Linked DNA regions of Macaca mulatta. The main gene of each other region encodes a partner of the protein of the gene in region 3 in a complex. Links are inferred from orthologs where the notes say so. Each region holds a gene or a part of one and is shown on either strand. Other genes may lie near its edges.

Region 1 (3,998 bases), on a different chromosome or scaffold from region 3:
GTGTACTAAATTCCACTGAACTGTATGCCTTAAGCTGGTTCATTTTATGGTACGTGAATTTCACCTCAAAAAAATAATCACATATATATGATTAAGTGTATCTCTCATATAGTGAGTTCTTACCTCATATAATGAGAGACACATTTAATCACATGCTAGATATGGACATAGCCAGAGTCTCCAAAATACAGGATGGCAAAAACTGACATCTTCATTAGAAGTAACAGAAAAAGTAAACAAAATAGAGCTCAAGAAAAAAAAAAACAAAAAAACTCAAATATTTGCTGAAGTGCCTCAAAAATCAAGCTGCTCCTTTGGGGGAGAAAATGTTCCTTCAGAAGAGCCAGAGAAATAAGCAAAGCCATGACGGAATTTGAACTAACACTACCTTTCTACCAGATCAAACCAGACAAGTCACGGCTGTTCTGAGGATTTATGATATGGCCTAAGGCCATTGTTAAACAACAAAGCTGCCAGAGTCAAAGCACATAATCACTCTTACTTGCCCTGACCAGAGTGTGATGTCACTGCATTTCGGAGTAGGCCTCCCTGCACAGGATTACATATCCAGATTTAACATAACCTAGTTTCTATGAAATATAGGTTGTCAAAGTCCCTCCTCTCCTATACCTCCCTCCAGTTCCCTAAAAGAGAAATTGAGCAGCAAAATAAGATTAATACCTTGGGTAGAATAAGGTCAAAAAAAATTAATAGGATCTTAATTCAAATGGCTCTCTGGGAAGCCAAATTAGTTCGTAAAGTCCCTAAACCCTTCTTTTCACAAAGTTGGATTTTACAAAGCTCAGTGCTCACAGTAAAAAACAGAACAAAGTTAACCAAATTATAAAGCAGAAATGTCATTCCAGTAATCTTTTATTGTAAGGGTGAGAGGTGCCAAATTCATTTCTAATCAAATATTCAGTAATAATGCAAAGACAATAGCATCATCAGGTATTATTTTTCTCATAAGAAATTACGACACAAAAGCTAAAATCACCTGTGATTTCTACTTAGACTACAAAGTAGCTTCTTAATATTATATAGAAGCAAAGGAGTTCAAAAGTTTTACATCTAATTCTTAACCAAAATAACATTAAACTCTGGAAAACTTAAGCCTGGAAGGAAAGAAAGGACAAGAGAAAGGAGAAGGTGCCCTATTTAATATATTCCTTGCTCAGCTTGGTTCAAACCTGTGCCTAAAAAGTTAGTACTTCAAAATATGGATCTTTTAAGGACGGAAAGAATGAAAGAACTGGACTTGAGTTTCTTCATATACAGTCAGAATATTAGATTTATATTGATTTTACCACCCAGCTTTTAGTGAGGATGCTTGCATTATACATCACCCTTTCTGCTTCCTTGAAAGTTTCAACGGTTAAGATACCTGCAAACAGTTCTCACCTTACCAGCACGCTTAGTCATCACTGGAATGTGTTACACGTTTTCTTATAGAGCTGCACCTCCTTCATCTGCTACTTTCTATTATTACTTTGTAAGTGTACCCTGAGGCTAAGCAATTCAAGTATACAAGGAAGGTAATTAATAATTTAAATTGATTCTCATTGAGACCACCTTCTTTCTTAGTCATTCTGCCTTTGTAAGTTTAATGCATTTTCTTTTAAACCACAATGGTTACGATAAGTCTTTGGCGGTTTTCAAAACATTTTTTCTTTTCAAAAGTCAAGTTTGGCTGGGCGCTCTGGCTCACGCCTGTAATCACAGCACTGTGGGAGGCCGAATAGGGAGGATCGCTTGAGCCCAGGGGTTCTAGACTAGACTGGGCAACACAGTAAGACCCTGTCACTGAAAATATAAAAATAAAATAAAATAAAAGTCAAACGTTTAATGAAGCATCCGCGTGAGTTCAATGAAAGCCTGTCCCCCCACCCCACCCCTCCAACAGAAGACTGCTCTTGAAAATAAGCAGCATGAACAAATTATTTGGATTCAAATGATAAGGAAATAACAGTAAGTTCCAGTTTCTTTACTTTCAGCTTAATCTACAGCCTTTCCCAAGCCAGACCATTCCCGCAGAGCCCAGAAAAAGAAGAAAAAAAAAAAAAAAAGGTGGGTTAAGATTTACCCCCATTTGCTTCCCCCTCTCTTACATCGGGTCAATTCTGGAGGTTACTCTTCCTCCAAGAGTCAGGAATGCCTCTTCTTTCCCCAAGTGGTCAAGATTCTAGCGATATGCTCCTCCATTACGGAGCAGGGAAGAGGTTGTCTCTTACCCTCAAGTTACTGGACAGACGACGTTCGCCCATCAATGAGCAAACGGGTTTTTCCCTTTCGCTTTTGCTGGACACGTCTCAGACTCTTAGTGACTCTTAGTGAACGACGCCGAGCGGGGAAGAAAGACGGTTCCCCCCACGGCCTCCAGGCTCTATCAGCCACACCCCTGGCCTCTGGTCCTCCTAAACCCCCAATTCCGAAGTACATCTTACCCTCATGCCCCCAACTACTTGCTGCCACACCCGAGGATTCCCTCACCGCACCACAGTCATCATGGTGGAGACCCTTTCTCCAACCTTTTTCCTCTCACTGGTCACACCCGACGGTTCCCTGTATCCTCAACGGTCACGCTCTTAGGATATCCTCGCTTCCGCCGGTCCTCGACCCAGCCTGGGGTTCCCCTTCTTTTCGTCCCCCACCCCGTCAATTAGGGACACACCCCAAAGGCAGCCTCCCTGAACTCACCGGAGGCGGAGGCGAAGTCGAGGGCGGGGGTGGCGGCGGGAGCCGGAGAGCACAGCCCGGGTGGTGGTGTAATGGTTTCCTGCCCGTCACGATTCTTTTCTAGGTCTAAGCCACTGCGCAAAACCCACTTTGCCAGGGACAAAGATGGTGGGCAGGAAACTCTGACGTCAGAGAACCTCGCCGCGTGACGTCATCGGGGTGCGCGGGAGACCTAGCAAGGCGGTAATCTCTGTCGCCTTCCAGCCCCAAACATTTCCCATGGTCCCAGCAAAGCTGGCCCATCTGGGCCTCAGAGGATGTTAAGTGGCTACTCCAAAGGAATATATTTAAAACGCTGACAATGGATTTGTTACCTCGCACAGAAATTCTCTGAAAAACGTAAACACAGAGATGATGAAATATCCTGTTCCTTTGTGAAAAAACAAAACCCCTCAGCTCATTTTCCTTCCAGGCTCAAGAGCGGACAATGGTGATATAACCCAGGGCTATATACGGGCAGTGGGGCTAGAGGATAGTGGTGCAGGTAAAAGAGGTTGAGGAGGCATTGGATGTGAGTTTGAATCCCTACCCTGAATGTGACTGGGAAAGTTAATGTCTCCTCAATCTTCTTATCTGTGAAATGAAGACAATGATAGTATCTCTCTCGGGCATGTGAAGCGTAAACCAGATAAATTAGGTCAAGTGCCTAGTATATAATAGGTGTGCTTACACAAAAGTAAGTTTCTTTCGGAAACTAAGACCTAGATTCCAGGACCTGGAACTGGAGAACAAGATTGATGAGGTTAAATGAACTAGCTGTCCCTAAGGTTAATTTCAGGGTGTAAGGAAGGATGGAGAGCAAAGTGATTATTTATTTTTCTCACATTTTGCCCATGAACTCTGTGAGTCAGAAAGTGTTTAAGTATTTTAAAACTTCATTCTTAAAAAAGTGATCAGAAGTACATTAAAATTTTGTATAACATACTCATGTATTATTATTTCCTGTTATTAAAATAGAGGAATAGGGGAAATTGGAAAGCCAGGTATAAAGAGAGATAATGTAAACACTTATGGTAAATCAGATAGCTGCATAATGTTATAGAATATTTTATGACAGAAAATTCATAAAGTGTTAAGTAAAAATAGGATACAAAACAATATAGTATATGGTATGACTATATATGTATAGAAAAAAAAGGCTAGGATAGGCCAGTCATGGTGGCTCACACCTGTAATCCCAGCCCTTTAGGAGACTGAGGTGGGCAGATCACCTGAGGTCAAGAGTTTGAGACCAGCCTGGCCAATGTGGTGAAACCCCGTCT
Region 2 (4,057 bases), on a different chromosome or scaffold from region 3:
AAAAACAACAGCTCTCTTCTGCTTCTCTCAATCCCAGCTAGTTCTGATAAGGTCATGGAAGTGCAAAATGATGTCTTCTGGAATGTTCTGAAAGAGACCAAAATCTACCCACGCAGCTTCATGGGGATCTGAAGCCCTGCAGTGTATAAATCTTTATCTTCCTCATGTTCACGTAATTGCCACTTGATATACAGTTGTCTATTGGGCAGACATTGTTAAAAATAAATAAATTCTTAAAATTAAAATTAAATTCCTATAAAGATCTTCTGGTGAACAATACATGCTAGAAAATACTAATGAAACACAAAGAACAGGAATTATGCTTGTATGTGGTCAATGCTATTGCATTCCAGAAAGAATAATGTTGAAAGGGGGACTTCTAAATTTTTAGCATTTTGCTATATAATAACACTTTAATTTTTAATATATTCAAATTTCTGGATTTTGTGCAGTTCACAATGAAATATATATATATATATATATATATATATATGCACATGTGTCTTTTAAATATTGCTATCCCTCTAAGAGAATCAGTAGGTAAAACTATTTCTGTAGTTTAAAAGTTCTGGCTAGGTTACAAAAACAGCAATTGTTAAACAACTCAACATTAAATATTAAAGACTAAATGTAGCATTTAAAACATTACATTTAATTGTGTCTGGCTTCATATAATTCAGTCCTTGGTTAATACAAAGTTAGTATATTAGAGTACAAAAATTAATGAAGTTTCAATTTGGAAATTAAACGGTGTGTGTTTCTAGACATAGAGAGATGCCTGGAATTTTACCTTTAGGATTTTATCTGTAGCTTGCAGCCTATTAAAGCTATTACACGTGCCTTTTTCTCTTTTGTGCCTACGTCATCGATTTAAGGTTCCTATTTATTTATTTAATTTTAAGAAGAAAGAAGAGGTTCTGTAGGAAACATTGACTGTATCTGACAACCATAGTAGGACTAGAGAAGGACTAATGAGGGGTTGCTGGGGGTAGCTTTAAGAAGGCGAAGTGGTAGCACAAAAGGATAAGAAGATAATTCAGCAGTCCCCTATAATCTTATTCCACCCAAGAAATTTGGGAGAATGCGAAAAAGCAGCAGCCCAGCATTCCTGGATGGGCGTGGCTTCTCTCCAGGGGCTGTCCAATCGAATTCCTTCAGAGGAAGAAGATTGATAAGGGTTGCTAGGAAACAGGAGCGTCTCCCTCCCGCCTGACCCAGAGATTGTTCTGCACAAACCCTCTCCAGGGGCTCGCAGTGTGCAGCTGAGTCGCGAGTAGGGCTGAGCTGCGCACCGACCTCCCTGGCTCTCACACTCCCTCTCTGTTCCCGCTCTCCTAGTCCCCTCTGGCATGCGGTCAGCCCCCTGCCCAGGGACCACAGGAGAGTTCTTCTAAGGACTGACTGTTAGTCCCTGCTCATCTGAAAGCCAAGCGCTCTAGCAGAGCTTTAAAGTTGGAGCCGCCACCCTCCCTACCTCCCCATGCTCCTTTACCCCACTCGGAAATTCACCGACCTTTGCATGCACTGCCTAAGGATTTCAGAGTGAGGCAAAGCAGTCGGCAAAGCTACCCTGGCTTTTCATATAAAAATCCTCTCGTCTAGGTACCCTGGCTCATTGAAGACTCTGCAGATATACCCTTATAAAAGGAGGGTGGATGGGGGAGAGTGGGGGAGGGGGAGAGGGAAAAGAGGAATGAGAGAGGGAGGAAAGAATGAAAAGGAGAGGATGCCAGGAGGTCCGTGCTTCTGCCGAGAGTCCCAAATAGATGCGACGGCTTCAGCCTGGTCAAGGTGAAGGAAAGTTGCTTCCGCGCCTAGGAAGTGGGTTTGCCTGATAAGAGAAGGAGGAGGGGACTCGGCTGGGAAGTGCTCCCCTCCCCTCCGCGGAAGACCACTGGGTCCCCCCTTTCCCCAACCTCCTCCATCTCTACTACTCCACCCCTCCGTTTTCCCACTCCCCACTGACTCGAATGCCTGGATGCTCTGCCACCGGGCAGTGGTCCAGCGTGCAGCCGGGAGGGGGCGGGGGCAGGGGGCACTGTGACAGGAAGCTGCGCGCACAAGTTGGCCATTTCGAGGGCAAAATAAGTTCTCCCTTGGATTTGGAAAGGACAAAGCCAGCAAGCTACCTCTTTTGTGTCGGATGAGGAGGACCAACCATGAGCCAGAGCCCGGGTGCAGGCTCACCGCCGCCGCTGCCACCACGGTCAGCTCCAGTTCCTGCCAGGAGTTGTCGGTGCGAGGTAAGGGGCCCAGAGGAGGACGTGCCCCTCTGGAGGGCGCCCAGCCAGGGCGCGGAAGCTTGGGTGCCGCGTGGGGCAGGCGCAGCCGGGAAAGTTGAGGCAGAGCATGGACCAGTCCCTACAGTCCTGCCTGGAGTGGGAAGGGTGTAGGGCAGAGGCGATGTGGGTGTGCATGAGTGAGAGTCTGTGTGTGCGCCCACGTCTGTGTCTGGGAGGAGGGAGATTTCAGGGCACAGATCTGTGGTCAGGGTGCGAGAGGCGAAGGGACGAACTAGCACTGGCAGACCCCCAGAGAGACCAGTCTCATCAGCCAACCACCTCTATCTCAGCTCTGGGCTCAGAATTTGTTTCTGTTTGGGGGCTCCCTAAGGCTTTGTGCACAGGAATCCGTGCGATAACTGGCTGACATACGGGCGGTTTCATGTGGGTGTGGAGGTTGCCGGCAGAGGTGGGCAACGGTCAGCAGGACCTGGTCCGTGCAGCCCGGATAAGCTCCGAAGCCGGAGATGGCCAGAGGTTTGCCCTCCCGGGAGCACGGTTGGAAAGGAGCCTTAACTAGCTGCCCTTTGCTCCTTTTGACTTGAGTGAAAAATCAAAAAGCCAGACAGGGAGCATATCTTTTCATCAATCCTGTTCCATTTTCTTATCTGACAGTGAGATAACTCAGAGAGGGCGGGCGATTTGCGATCCAAAAATAGACTAGGTGATATATCCAATAAGCTTGTTTCTTAAGGATTTCATTTAAATTTCTTTGTAGTTATTCCTTGGGTTACCAAAGGTGGACAATTCTCAAAGGTATAACACTTTCAGGTAAATATATTAAGGAAGCATTCTCCCACTTTAAGTATTTTATATATTGTAAATTTTTAAAAACAAATAAAACTGTGCACCTCTAAAGATCTTTGGTTAAGGACTCAACTAATTTGCTTATAAAATATTTCTACTATTATTTGAACAGTAATAGATATGTTTTGGGTCTATATGTAGGTACGTATTGGAATATTCAAAGTTAAAGTTAATGTGAGTTGAGGTAGGTGTGAGTTAAGTACCAACAATAGTTCCTTAGAGTTTCTTTGCTTGAATTTCTTAGAACTGTCCAGCAGAGCTACAGTATGTTTCTTTGTGGTGGGTGGAGGGGAGGTTGGGGGGTGGAGTCTGCTTTGGTTTATCTGATCACACATTTTAAGATTCTTCTCTGAATTCTAATTGTTTGCAGAAGTATATTCAATATAGGCATTACTAAAATAATCTGCATTGCCACTATGCTAAACTATGGATAACAGTTCCTACCAAAGATGCTTAGGACACTCTAATGAATAACTATGATTCTATATTCCTATGTACCTTGTTTCTAAAAACAGCCCAAGAGAATTTGAATATATTTGGAAGCTATTGTACACCAGAAATTGTAATATTTTTCCTTTCACAATGGGTAGTGTTTTATATTTACAAAGACTTCTCACACCTGTAGACTTTAGCTGTCCATCCTATTGGGTTTTGATCACCCAGCAGTAGTACATAGATATTTAGAATAAACATGCCCAAAGGCTATCTTATGTTCAGAGTAACACAGGAGCTCAGGATGGAAAATGAGGAAAGGAAGTCTTGAAACCTATACTTTAACAAATAAAACAATGAAATTCCAGAATATCTACCTTTATTAGATGAAAAAGAATATGGCAACAATATCTTTTAGCATTGAAACCCCTCCTGCTCCTAGATATTATATATTTAGGTATAAAACTGTAGTTTTATGAGTTAGGCCCTTACCAATGAAATATGAAACCTAAATCATAGAAAATCATGCCAGCACA
Region 3 (4,190 bases):
ATTCCTCCTCTAAGTCATAGATAAAGTAGAATCTCATGGCTTACGGAAAAAGACAAGGTACAGCCCATTACCGATTTTGCCCTTCTTTTCCAAATTACTTAGCAAACTGTCTGGAAAGGGACAGAAAGCCCTCATGGGGCTGCAGGAGAGTCTGAGGGGGAGGTCAGGGCCACTATCAGGTGGATTTAGCTGGGCCTTGGCTCCAGGCTTCAGGCAGTGCCTCTTCCCCTGCCCAGTGAAGTCAGTAAGTACAAGAGAAGCCTTAAAATGTTAAGTATTGATAGCTCCAGTTTACAGATGGGAAACTAAGGTCCGGAAAAGTAAAGGCAATTGCCCAGTGTCCCAACGGTCCAGCAGTGAGTTCAAGGCAGGGCAGGGGGAGTCATGGAAAATATCTTGGCCTCAGAGACAGGGTCTCCAACAGGTGCCTGGAAGCCCATGGTGTCCACATCTTCCTGACAATCATGTCAGCAGGACAGCAATGACACTTATCCCCCAAGTCACAGAGAGGTACAGAGAGACCCAAGAGAGGCTGAGTTACCCCAATCACAAGGCAGCCTAGGAAGGACAGGAGGAGTGGAGAATGGCTCCAACTCCCTGCTATACCCTGCAGGAAGAAAAGCCTGACCTCATGGGTCAAGATGGATGTGGCTGGGGAGGGAGTCACATACCTTCCTACTGAGGACAGAGGCCTAGGTCACAGTGCTGGCCAGCCAGCTGCAATGGGGACTAGCCATCAAGATGCATGCAGACACAGCATGATCTTCTGCTGTCTCCCCCAAAGCCTGGGCCTCCAGCACAGAGCAGGGCACCCCTCCCTGGCCCATGTGGGGCCTGGTAGTGCCCTAGGGCCATCCACAGAGACATGACCAAGTGGACTCCAGCCTCTGCCCTGCCTCTGGCCTCTTTTGACCTTAGGCAAATCACATGACCTCTCCAGCTCTCTGGTTCCTCTGCTAGAAAACAGGAAGAGGAAAATTAACCTCCTGGAAGAGCTGTCAGGAGGATGGCTGGAAAGTAATTTCTAAACATTAAGAGCCTAAGTTGCCTCTGAGCCTCAGTTTCCTCCTCTAGAAAATAGAAATAATCTCTGGAAGCCCTTTCTCACACTGTTGAGAGAGAGTCTCAGATGGCAGTACGTGAGAAATGGCTTTGTCAGTGGCCCTGAAAGGTGGTGCCCACTGGGGTGTGTCTCTCTAGTCTGTTAGCTCCTTCAGAGGAGTGGGCCTTGCGCATCTTTGATTACCCACACTATGCCTAGTATACAGCAAGAGCTTAATAATAAATGGAACCGAGGAGAGGAGAGGGGAGGAAAGGGAGGAGGCAGAAGTCAGGCACAAGAATAGGAGAGGAGAAAGACAGAAAACAATGAGAAAGAGGGGGAGCCCAGGAAGAGGCTGCTGTGCCCACTTGGGTGGGGAGGGCAACGGGGAAAATAGGGTGGCAATGCTGAGCCCTTGACCAGGGCTGGTCCTGTCTGAAGGGCTGGTCCTGTCTGAAGGGCTGCCCCCAGGGGCTGTCCTGCTCCAGCCCCCTCCTCCTTCTGTCCCACTTTCCCCTTTCAGAGGCATAGACCGTTTCTTTCTGAGTATTTCAGGCCAGGTTCTAGAACGGGAGGGGTTCTCCCAGCCCTAGGTTCAAAACAGCCCCTGGCCAGCCACTCCTCAGGAGGTCAGAGGGAAAGGGAACAGAGTAGATGGATGCGATCTATTCGGATGGGATGGGATCTGTTTTCCCCAGGCTGGGGGCAGTGGGGAGCGTTCTACCCCGTGTGATGTGTGTTTCCACTTCTGGCCATGTGGGGCCTGGAACGTGTGTGTCAGCGGGCCTCCGGCTAGCAGCTCGTGCCTGCGGGGTGCCAGTCTTTGCAAGCATTAGTCTGATTGTGTCTGTGGGGGTCAGTGTTGGTGTGGCCTTGCGCTCCACTGTGTTGGTGAGACATGCCAGCACAAGTGTGTGTGCTAGTGAGGGTGATGTGTGTACCAGCAAGAGTGTTTGCTACAGCGAGTGCAGGTGACAGTTTGCGTATCAGTGTATGCCCACACGTGTGTGCTAGCACGAGGGTGTGTTAGAATTGGTGTGTGTTGGAGTGTGAGCTGTTCATGCCAACAAGGCTGTAAGCAAGAATGTGTTGACCGAGGCGTGTATGACGGCGTGCCACTGTGTGTGATGAGCGTGTGCCAGTGGCTGCCAGTGTGTGCGCCAGCATGCCTGTGCCACGGGTTAGTGTGCCCGTGCGTGTATTGTGTGTCAACCTGCCCCCGCGCGTTTCTGCGGCTGCCGGCCAATGCTGGGTATCAGCAAGCTGTGAGTGTGTCCGGGCCAGGAGCCGCGGCCCACATGGGGCGGCCCGGCCCTCGCCCTTTGGGTCCCCCTCGCCCACGGCCCTGCCGGGGAGACCACGCAGGAGACCTCGGGTGGAGGAGGGCTGGTACTAGATCCCGGGATGGCCGCGAACACAGAACCAGGACGCAATCGGAGCCCCCGCCCGTGCCCTCGCCGAGGTCGCCCCCACACGCCCCACGCCGGGCGACCGCCCTGCACTCACCGGGTCCCTTTGTCGCCCATGGTCCGCGACGGCCGCAGGGAGGTCCGCGGCGTCAGCACCCAGGCTGGAAAATCCCCGGCCAGCAGGAGGAGCGCGGGCCAGCCCGCTCCCGGCTCCCTGCTCCGCCTTCTCCGCTCTCCCGGCCGCCGCCGCCCCCGCCCCCGCCCCCGCCCCCGCCCCCGCCCCCGGTCCCCGCCCGCCTCCCGCCGCGCCGAGCAGCGCAGCGCCCGGGCCGCGGTCAGGGGCGTGGAACCGCGCGGGGTGTGTGTGTGTGTGCGCGCGCTCGTGCGTCTGCGTGTGCGCGCGCCGCCCAGCGAGCCGGGGCAGCGCTGCAGGACGCGTCAAGGCCCCAAGGTCGGCGTTTGTGGTGGGGGAGGGGTCCACCCGCGTGCGAGTCCGTATGAGTGAGTGTGTGTGTGTTTGTATGGTGGTGGTGGTGTGGTGTACGTGAGGGCGCACGGCTGTGTGCGGGCCCTATTGGGAGTGTATTGGTGTGGATGGAGGAGTGTGCACGTCTTTGTGCAGTTGTGCGTGTGTGCGCACGGCCGTGGGTGCGAGCGCGCTCTCCCGCGCATGCCGGGGCAGCCTTTGTGTGTGCGTGTGGTTGGAAGCCGAGGGTCTGGCGACCCCGAGGCCGCGCTCTCTGCGGCCGCTCGCCTAGCTGGAGACCCCGGGATGCCTGGCAAGGCCTTCGCCCTGTGCTCCACCCTTCCCCATTCCACCCCACCCCACCCCCTTCTACTGGAGAGATAACACCCAGTCACCCAACAGAGACAGGAAGAAGGGGTGGAGGGGGCAGTAGACGGCCTTGACACTGGGGAACTGAGCGGAGACCCGCGACCAGCAAGGGCTGCAGGAAGCCGCCCAGGAAAGGGAAGCTGCGAGAAGTGAGAAGAGGCGATAAAGGAAGAGGGCAGAGCTGGCCCGCTGATGTGACCGGGTAGCACCGTGGAAAGTGCCCATGCCTAGCTCCATGGCCACCTGTAAAGTGAGGATACACTAATATCAGCCTGCAGAATTAATAGGTTGAAAGAACTTGCTTGTTTGCTGGCCTCCCCAAGTGCCTGCATACAGTAGGTGCCCAGTAGATGTTAGCCCACTTCTCTGCAGGCTTCTTGATGTCCTGTGAAATCTTGGCTGGGACGCTGCTTTGTCTGAGGTGCCTTCCTGCTTTGCAGGTAGTGGGAAATTGTAAGGTCTTTCCCACACCCTCACTGCTGAGATTTGGCTAACTATCCCTGAAAGGTCTAAGTATTAAGGGAGGAAGCTATCATTTACTCTGATGCTGTTGTGAGTGTGTAAACATCTCCTGTAATCATGCTCAGAAGCAGTTACCTATACTGTTTATATGCAGTATCATTACTATAATTATGTCCAGATTTGGCAGAGGGGCAGGGGAAGGCTGATGGGTAGGCAGGGTGGCCCACCTCTGGGCAATGTTAGGAGCTAGAGAATATGGAGGAAGGCCCAGAACCCTCCTCCCAGTCTTGGCCTCTGGGCTTCACCCTCCACAGGGGAAGAAGAGGAAGCCACCTGTTGTTTCTGCAGGGCTCAGAGATCTGGAAAGGAGCAGACTAGAATCTTTTTGATGACAGGAGATCCCTAACCAGGATGGTGAGGCCAGGTCCTGCCACTCTCCACA
Region 4 (3,509 bases), on a different chromosome or scaffold from region 3:
GCTAATTTTTTTTTGTATTTTAGTAGAGACGGGGTTTCATTGTGTAGCCAGGATGGTCTCGATCTCCTGACATCATGATCTGCCCGCCTCGGCTTCCCAAAGTGCTGGGATTACAGGCGTGAGCCACCGCGCCTGGCCTGGAGGGCAAGATTTTATTCCCTAGAGAAACTTCTGATAAAACTCAGCATGGCAGCAGTAAGATCTGCATGCACGGAGCCTCAAAGAAAATCAAGAGAGAGAAAAAAAGGCAAGGAGCTTAAGCTTCACTCTACTTGACTTTTGCTTATGCGAAATCCTTCGTAAGATAAAGTTTATACAAATACTAATAAAACAGTAGGAAAGAAAAATGGTGAATATAGTTAATATCAAATAAATTTTATGAACTAGTTAAGTGATCAAAGACATTTTTGACTCTACCTATAATCTAGATGTTAGAGATAAAGTAATCATATCTTTTTTCAAAAGCAGTATCTTATACAAGATCTGAGCAAAATTCTGAAAACTTGGCACTTAATTAGAAGTAAGATTTATCAATCCTGAAACCTTACTAAATTTAGATCCTAGGAATGCAAGCAACTACTGTTTACAATCCTAAATGATAATGGCGTTTTTGAAAAATGGGAAAATGTAACTTTATGAGTCTTAAGATTATGTGCAAGAATCAAAAGGTTTTACCTGATAATCTTCTTCTGTAATAAAGAGGTTGTTTAATGATTCATTCACAGATTTGTTGTTATGGTTCTGAACTGAACGCAAATATGGTTTCACCAGTGGTAGCTGTTTAACCTTTAAAATAAAGAGTTTGTTACAAATATAGCACATTATTGAAGTCCCAGGGACAAAAGTTATCCTAATATGTCCTAATTCCTTGCTATGAAGCTTTGGTTTAAAATTATTACTTTACCTTGCTGAAATAATTGACTGCACGAGTGTGATCCAACCGTGGAGACAGCACCATCAGCAAATCATTTAACAACAGAGGCTTGAATTCTAAATAGAACTGTATTGCTCTATAGTATAGTTCCACATTGGCAACCTATAATGGGAAAATCCATATATAAGTCAGTTACTTCCTAATGAGCTTTCTCCTTCTGAATCCTTTATCTTCTGAAGAAAGTACACACCTTGGTAATGATATCTTTGAACTGCCCTTCTTTCCAGGCATCAGTTGGATGATTCATCATGGTAATTATGGCATTATCATATTCTTCATACTTGTCATACAAAAACACCAGTTCTGCCCAAAGATGAGCTTGTTCTGCAGCTCTTAGCACCTGCATAAGAAAGACTTAATTGCTTTAGATATGAGTCTAGCTAACAGCCTTAAAAAGAATAAGATATTTTGAAGTATTAGTTTTAACTACACAGTTGCTTCACTGTGTTACAATGACTGGTTACCTTGGGAATATTCACTCTAGACCAGAACAGCTCCAGGTGCTCCCTCATTTTCTGAGGCTTAAATTTAGAGTATAGAATAGCTAATTCAGTAAACATTCCCATGTGAGCTCGCTCAAGTCCCAGTGCTGCTTCCAACATGGTAATCAGCTCTTCAAAATAGCCACGATCCTGAACAAGAGAAATGTGCAGTTAAAGAGTATCTATGGTAAAAGATCTCAGGTCATATAAAAGTTTCTTGTTAATTACCTGATAGTAGTTGATAAGTTCTTCTAATTCATCTGCGTGTACAACAATATGAAGTCCACACATCTGAGCAAGACGGAATTCTTTCCCATCTACACAGGCGAAGCAGACCTAGAATAAACATTTCCTTTCTGTGAACTCAAATGTAAACATGGCTAGTTGTTTAAACTAATGTTTACAGAGCGTTTCTTTAATTCTTCACTCAAACTTGGGTTTAGATTACCTCTTTCCATGTTCGAGTACTGTTAGCTTTCCTAGCCCCATCAACAGCTGCCTGATATTCACCCAGGTGAACCAGGGTAGATGCCAAACGTCCAAAATTGGAAACATTATTGTACAACAACTTAGCAGCATCATACATTTTTTCATCATAACAACGGTCACCAACCTGGAAAAAAAAAGGTAACGCATATTCAGTAAGATATTAGTGTGAGCTTAATCCTCTTTTCATATTCATACCTTCACACTGAGAAATAATTTGTTTTCCTGTAGATTTTTCCTTGGAATTCTTCAGTTATGATGTTTTGATCCTACCAAGCTAATCAAGTAGCCCAACTAGTTTTTCTTAAATCTGAAAAGGAAACCCACTTGTTGGATATGAGCATTATTTGGTCCATTGATAAATTCTTCTAACTCTGCAAGGCGGTTTGTTTTAGCCAGCGCAAATATCAATTCTGTCTCCACATAGGACTCTCGAGCCTTCTTACGGGCCATCTGCAAGTACTTCACCAGTTCTTCCCAGTTTCCTAAGTATAGAAAAAGAAAAAATATATCCAAACACTAACATCCCAGTTTACCTTTCACCCAAGTAAATGAAAATTGCTCATTTCCTTTTCAAGGAAACATGGATAATGACAAATGTAAACTGTGCAATATTTCACTTCTGTATTATCAAAGACCAAATGAATAGAAGAATTCTCTTTTTCCTTAAAGTTGTAAGATTAGAGGATTATCAGGATTTTATGAGACTTCAAAAACAGAAAATTTATCTTCCCCACTTGTAAGTTTTGTGAACTTACAAATTCACAAAATACAGCCTCTTTTTATCTGGACTAAGATGGAGTACTAAAAGTTTTCACAGGAAACCATGCAGTATCCAACTCTTCTACAATTCAGAACAGACAGATATCTTAATGCTTAGCTTAATCATTTTGTGAGGTCTCAATACATAAGGTAAGAAGTCATACCACTAGTATTGGCAGCCTGAACAACTTCCATGTAGGAGGAAGGATCGTCTGCTTTGATATAAGAATCAATGGCTTCTTTCACCATTCCTTTCTGCAACTGGGCTTTTGCAAGTTGACTCCAGACCGCAGGTTCATTGCAACGTTCAGCAAACTCATATGCCCGATCCAAGTTTCCAATATGTTCAATTAAGACCTAAGTACCCAAGTTTGAAATTGGGGTTAGAGTAAAATCAATCCTACCCAGAGCAATTACATTTAAGCTGTTAGTATTTTATTGCTCTTCTATTGCCATAGGAACAAATTAGGCCCACCCTCACAGGACAGTGCATACACTGAATGAGTAGAAGACATTACATTTAGTAATTCAACTTAGGTAATCTAAAGATTTACCTGAACTGCTGAAGTATTGACATCAAATTTCCGGAAAATGGCAAATGCTTCTTCAAACAGCTCATTGCTGATGGCGATATTGGCAATATCTGGGGCATCATAATTATCCAAGCGGTTAATATACTCCATAACACGTGTACGGTCAGCTTTAATTGCGGTGAGGATAAGGAGGTTTTGCAGATTCCTTTAAGAAACAAAAGAATATTTTAAATGCAATATTTTAAGTTTATCAGACATAAAAAAAAACCACTGTGACTAATAGAGAGGTTTTTGTCTCAAGAGATAGAGTGA
Region 5 (4,117 bases), on a different chromosome or scaffold from region 3:
GCAGCCGGGGAGACTGGGAGCTCAGTTCTACCCCCCACCCCCCAGTCCACCTGGGTGGTGGCCAGTGGAGGGTCAGTTAGGGCCCAGGTGACGCCCTGCCCGGCACTGCTGCCCCCACCCCCACCGGGCACACTGGCATATGAGGGCTGCCCAGGCAACTACAGAAGCTTAGCTGGGAGGCTGCTGATGCTGGTGTGTCGGGAGCCAGGGGGACAGCCAGCCACCCCAGCCCCTCTAGCTGGGCAGAGGTGGGCGACTCTGCCTGGATCCTTCACCCTCTGGCTTCCTTAGCCCACCAGAAATGGAAGAAACCCCACACCTCGAAGGCTGCTCGTGTCCAAGGTGCCATCCAAAGTGCCCGACCAGCCCTGACTTCCTCCCTGGACACCAACCTCCGGCTCGGGACTTTGGTTTGATCAGTCCTCCCCTCCAGCCACGAACCTCAGCCAAACTGATTCCCAAGGGGGCTTCCCACCTGCATTCCTACGGCGCTTTGCTCAGACCCTTGGGGGGCCCTTGGTCACTCGGCTCCAGTTTTACGCACCTCACCACAACACCACCACCACCCGCAGAGCCTCACAACCTTCCCAGCAGAAACATCGTCCCCACCATCCAGCAGTAATAGTACCTGTGAGCGCTTCTATGTGTCGGGGGCCATGCAAACACTTCCCATACATTCTCTCTCAAATGCTCTACCTTCTGAGGTCAATGCTAAGACTACCCCATCATACAGATGGGAAAGCTGAGGCTAAACTAGGAACCAGCCCAAGATGGCATCAGGTTCTGCTCTGACTCCCCAGTTTGGGTCAGGGCAGGCAGTTGGGAGGCACCGGCAGAGTCAGTGTGGGGACTCCCCAGTTTGGGTCAGGGCAGGCAGTTGGGAGGCACTGGCAGAGTCAGTCTGGGGGCTTCTCTGCAGAGGAGAGGAACGTAACCTGTTGGGGGCACAAAGCCTTTTGAGAAGCTGATGAAAGGGACCCCTTCCTTTGGAGACGCAGGTGCCAGCGCACATGTTTCCATTAGAACTTAAGGAATTCACAGACGTCGGAGGCCCAGCCACCAACCCCAGGGAGGTCACAGGCAGGGGCTCCATCCCCTCAACAGGAGGGGAGAAGATAGGGGCTGAGCCTGGCAACTCCGGAGCTGCACCCAAGCTGCCCCAACCGCCTTCGCAGCCTCACAGGAGTAGACTGTCTCTGTGACCTCTCTCCCACTCCCTACCCAGAAGGCACACCACTGGCGTTGCTTTTGGGGTGAAGGAGAGGGGAGCCCCGGGGCTGGTTACTGAGGCTTACCTGTATGACGACTTTGACAGTGGCGGTGTGGATGGTGGGGGTGCACACCAGGCCACCGGCGTGCTGGCCGTCGGCGCTGCGGTTCTGCTCGCCCATGGTGAACAGCATGGGCACCGCCAGCAGGGCCGAGGCGAGCCAGATGGCGCTGATGAACTTCTTGGTGCGGCTTCGGGACATGAGGGTCTTGGCCTTGAAGGGGTGGCAGATGGCCAGGTAGCGCTCCACACTCAGGCTGGCCACGTTGAGGGCCGTGGCGTAGGTGCAGGCGTCGCGCAGGAAGTAGTAGCCGCGGCAGCCCGCGTCGCCGAAGGCCCAGGGGTGGTGCACCCAGATGAAGTTGTACAGCTCCACCGGCATGGCCAGCAGCAGGGTGAGCAGGTCGGACAGCGCCAGGCTGCCCAGGTGGTAATGCACCGTGCTCTGCAGACTCTGCAGCGACTTCTTCCGCGCCAGCGTGAACGCCGTCACCGTGTTGCCCACGGTGCCCACCACGAAGAGCGCCAGGTACACGGCGGTCACCAGCACCTTGGAGTAGATGTCGGTGTTCACGTCCAGCTCGCTGCTGGGTGCCGCCAGGACGCGCTCCGACGCGTTGCCCGAAGCGTTGCTGAAGCCCGGGGCTAGCAGCCCCGCCTCCAGTCCTGCCTGCGCCCGCTGGAAGGGGTCGGCGGCCGGCGTGCCCGGGGTTCCCGGCGTGGAGCTGTTGAGGCGCATGGTGGGCGCTGGGGTCCGCGGCTCTGTCCCGCGCCTCCGGGGCTGGAAGTCCGGGCGGATTGGGCACGTCTCAGTCGGGGACCGATGAACGGGAGCCCAGAGGAGGGCGCGTGGCGAAGACCAGCGGGCGCGCCGTCCAGCCGGGAAGCGCCAGACCCAGACGCGCCGCCCCGAGCTCCGGGCTCCGCGCTCCTCCGGACTCCCAGCTCCGGACTCCCAGCTCCGGGCTCCTGGCTCCAGACTCCGCGGTTCCTCGGGCTGTCTCCGGGCTCGGCGCTTGCCACCGGTTCCGGGTGCCTCTGATCTCCAAATCGCGCGGTTCCCCAGGCTCCCGAGGACAGCGCCCAGCCTGGCTCGGGCTGCGCGGGGCGAGCTTGTGGCGCCGGGAGGAATGCACGCACGGCTGCCCCGGCGCGCTCCCCTCCCTCGCTCCGAATCTCCTCCCTCGCGCTCTCCGCGCACCCTAGCCCCGCACACTTCCCGCCGCGCCCGCGCCCTCCCGGCTCTGCGCGTCTCCACGAAGCCGGCGGCCGCGCGGCGCGCCCAGCAGTTGGGGGTGGCGGCGGAGGAGGGAGGCAGCCCCCGCTGTCGTCCCCGCCCCACCCGGGTGCAGCCTGGCGGGTCGCCCCCTCGCGCTCCCCGGGGCAGGGCGGGCTGGGTTGAGCGCTCCAGTGAACCAGGATTCCGGGCGGGTGCGGCGGGTATCGTGCACCGGGCCCTTCCTGCCACCCTTTTCCCTGTTCTCCGCAATTTCTCGCTCCGGCTAGTAAGGGAACTATGCACCTCCCCCAACCCTGGGCTCGCTCAGTGGGGGTGAGGGTGTATCCGGAGGGCAGGGAGGGAGGAAGCTCCCCGCTGGCAGGGCTGGGCGGCTGCGCAGCTGGTTGGGCCGCCCCCCTACTCCTGGGTGTCCACAGGGTGCCAGAAGCTGGGTGCCCAGGGGGGCTCCAGGACCACTAGAGATTACATTTCTTGTGATTCCTTTTAAAATCTAGCTGCAGTCATGGGCGTGCCTGGTCTGTGAATGCGTATTTCTGGGATATGCCCAGTGGGAATGGTGGGGGCTCAGGGCATAGTTATCACCTGGGGCAGGGGCGTGAGGCAGTACCGAGGGACACCTGCAGAGGCTGAGGAGCTGAGGGGCTGGGTCCTGCAGAGGCTGAGGAGCTGAGGGGCTGGGTCCTGCAGAGGCTGAGGAGCTGAGGGGCTGGGTCCTGCAGAGGCCAGGAGCCACAGATGGTTTCATCAAAGTCTAGGGAGGAGTTAATGAGGGAGGGCGGAAAGCAGGTGCCCAGAACAGCACCCTCCCCACTCAGGGCCCCGCACCTGGCACCCTGGGCCGGTCTCATGATGCTATGGGATGTGATCCCCTGGGTCCCTTATTACTGCCTGGATTTGTCATCAGAAGTCACCCTGAGAGCCCACACCCCAGCAGGATTTGGGAGGGGCAGCCCCACAGCACGCGTCAGGGCCTCCTCACAGGCCCTGCAGGCTTTGCACACTCCCTCCCTCGGAGCGCCTCACAGGGTGCCCCTGCCCCTGGCTCGGGAGCCACGTGAGAGCGAGATTCTTGTCCTTTCCCTGTCCCCGCAGCGCCTGGTAGCACTGGCATAGCACTGGTAGCACTGGCATAGGTGACCAGGCACAAGCTTGTCCCCTGCATGTCTGGGTTGCCCAGGAGCCCCCAGGGCACTACTGTCCCTTCTCTAGGCCCTCCCCGTCCCCTCCCCTGCTCCCTCCTCCCCAGAACCCCTGGGAGAGGTTGGGTAGAGCTGCTGCTGCGTGTGTGCAGGGCTGGGGAACCAGCCTGGCCTTTGTGGACGTTGCTGGCTGCAGCTGTTGTGCTGGGAGCAGGAAACCTGGGCAGGCTGGGGCAGGCGTTGCAGGGTGTTGAGGGAAGTGGGAGGCTGAGGAACCCCCTCCTGGGCCCACCCAGCTAGGAGAATTCAAGGCTCCTGAGCTGATGGCTGGCAGTGGGACTCCATGCTTATTCATCTGTTCTCGCCCTGCTTTGGGCTTCTCTGTTCAACCGAAGCCTGATACTGTTGTCAGGGAGCTGCAGCTCACAAACATCACAGCTTAGAAATCCTGGCATCAAAGGAAATGCC

The links.
Region 1: the proteins of ARRB1 (region 3) and AP2B1 are in contact, whole or in part, in a crystal structure (PDB 2IV8), measured with the Homo sapiens proteins. The link is inferred for Macaca mulatta from reciprocal best matches to the Homo sapiens genes ARRB1 and AP2B1. Residues at the interface, in NP_004032.2 of Homo sapiens: Asp384, Asp385, Val387, Phe388, Glu389, Phe391, Ala392, Arg393, Arg395, Leu396; in NP_001273.1 of Homo sapiens: Arg834, Gln835, Phe837, Leu838, Trp841, Lys842, Asn846, Glu849, Ile876, Ala877, Arg879, Val881, Glu882, Gln884, Tyr888, Glu902, Arg904.
Region 2: the proteins of ARRB1 (region 3) and GRM3 are in contact, whole or in part, in a cryo-EM structure (PDB 9II2), measured with the Homo sapiens proteins. The link is inferred for Macaca mulatta from reciprocal best matches to the Homo sapiens genes ARRB1 and GRM3. Residues at the interface, in NP_004032.2 of Homo sapiens: Gly5, Thr6, Arg7, Val8, Phe9, Lys10, Lys11, Ala12, Ser13, Pro14, Tyr21, Arg25, Arg65, Glu66, Asp67, Leu71, Gly72, Leu73, Thr74, Phe75, Arg76, Lys77, Arg103, Leu104, Lys107, Pro133, Arg236, Phe244, Asn245, Thr246; in NP_000831.2 of Homo sapiens: Pro605, Lys608, Ala609, Ile669, Phe670, Asp671, Gly672, Val673, Lys674, Asn675, Ala677, Gln678, Arg679, Lys681, Phe682, Ser684, Cys761, Pro762, Glu763, Phe765, Val834, Val835, Thr836, His837, Gln855, Ser856, Ser857, Ala858, Ser859, Thr860.
Region 4: the proteins of ARRB1 (region 3) and CLTC are in contact, whole or in part, in a crystal structure (PDB 3GC3), measured with the Bos taurus proteins. The link is inferred for Macaca mulatta from reciprocal best matches to the Homo sapiens genes ARRB1 and CLTC. Residues at the interface, in NP_776668.1 of Bos taurus: His30, Ile31, Asp32, Leu33, Val34, Glu35, Pro36, Pro96, Thr98, Arg99, Tyr173, Pro175, Lys355, Thr374, Asn375, Leu376, Ile377, Glu378, Leu379, Asp380; in NP_776448.1 of Bos taurus: His12, Leu13, Gln14, Gln16, Asn17, Leu18, Gly19, Val50, Asn56, Asp57, Pro58, Ser59, Asn60, Ile62, Arg63, Arg64, Pro65, Ile66, Ser67, Ala68, Lys78, Ile80, Leu82, Lys83, Ala84, Thr87, Gln89, Phe91, Asn92, Ile93.
Region 5: the proteins of ARRB1 (region 3) and NTSR1 are in contact, whole or in part, in a cryo-EM structure (PDB 6UP7), measured with the Homo sapiens proteins. The link is inferred for Macaca mulatta from reciprocal best matches to the Homo sapiens genes ARRB1 and NTSR1. Residues at the interface, in NP_004032.2 of Homo sapiens: Tyr63, Arg65, Asp67, Leu68, Val70, Leu71, Gly72, Leu73, Thr74, Phe75, Arg76, Lys77, Asn245, Thr246, Ala247, Gln248, Tyr249, Lys250, Lys284, Arg285, Gly286; in NP_002522.2 of Homo sapiens: Ser93, Leu94, Gln95, Ser96, Leu97, Gln98, Thr100, Val101, Arg166, Ile170, Pro173, Lys177, Phe286, Ser287, Met288, Ala289, Ile290, Ala297, Leu298, Gly301, Ser368, Asn370.

The regions. Positions count from the first base shown.
Region 1 is NC_133421.1:45,058,199-45,062,196, reverse strand, and holds the start of AP2B1 (AP-2 complex subunit beta), read right to left. Parts: upstream 2,805-3,998; 5' UTR 2,445-2,804; intron 1-2,444. UniProt on the Homo sapiens protein: Component of the adaptor protein complex 2 (AP-2). Adaptor protein complexes function in protein transport via transport vesicles in different membrane traffic pathways.
Region 2 is NC_133408.1:132,761,638-132,765,694, reverse strand, and holds the start of GRM3 (metabotropic glutamate receptor 3), read left to right. Parts: upstream 1-1,251; 5' UTR 1,252-2,243; intron 2,244-4,057. UniProt on the Homo sapiens protein: G-protein coupled receptor for glutamate. Ligand binding causes a conformation change that triggers signaling via guanine nucleotide-binding proteins (G proteins) and modulates the activity of down-stream effectors.
Region 3 is NC_133419.1:75,743,717-75,747,906, forward strand, and holds the start of ARRB1 (beta-arrestin-1), read right to left. Parts: upstream 2,807-4,190; 5' UTR 2,569-2,806; coding exon of another isoform or gene 2,549-2,568; exon of another isoform or gene 2,518-2,548; intron 1-2,517. UniProt on the Homo sapiens protein: Functions in regulating agonist-mediated G-protein coupled receptor (GPCR) signaling by mediating both receptor desensitization and resensitization processes.
Region 4 is NC_133421.1:50,301,851-50,305,359, forward strand, and holds part of CLTC (clathrin heavy chain 1), read right to left. Parts: intron 3,403-3,509; coding exon 3,219-3,402; intron 3,022-3,218; coding exon 2,829-3,021; intron 2,388-2,828; coding exon 2,230-2,387; intron 2,030-2,229; coding exon 1,865-2,029; intron 1,753-1,864; coding exon 1,645-1,752; intron 1,567-1,644; coding exon 1,399-1,566; intron 1,275-1,398; coding exon 1,125-1,274; intron 1,037-1,124; coding exon 905-1,036; exon of another isoform or gene 900-904; intron 787-899; coding exon 676-786; intron 1-675. UniProt on the Homo sapiens protein: Clathrin is the major protein of the polyhedral coat of coated pits and vesicles. Two different adapter protein complexes link the clathrin lattice either to the plasma membrane or to the trans-Golgi network.
Region 5 is NC_133415.1:115,518,396-115,522,512, reverse strand, and holds the start of NTSR1 (neurotensin receptor type 1), read right to left. Parts: upstream 2,804-4,117; 5' UTR 2,010-2,803; coding exon 1,296-2,009; intron 1-1,295. UniProt on the Homo sapiens protein: G-protein coupled receptor for the tridecapeptide neurotensin (NTS). Signaling is effected via G proteins that activate a phosphatidylinositol-calcium second messenger system.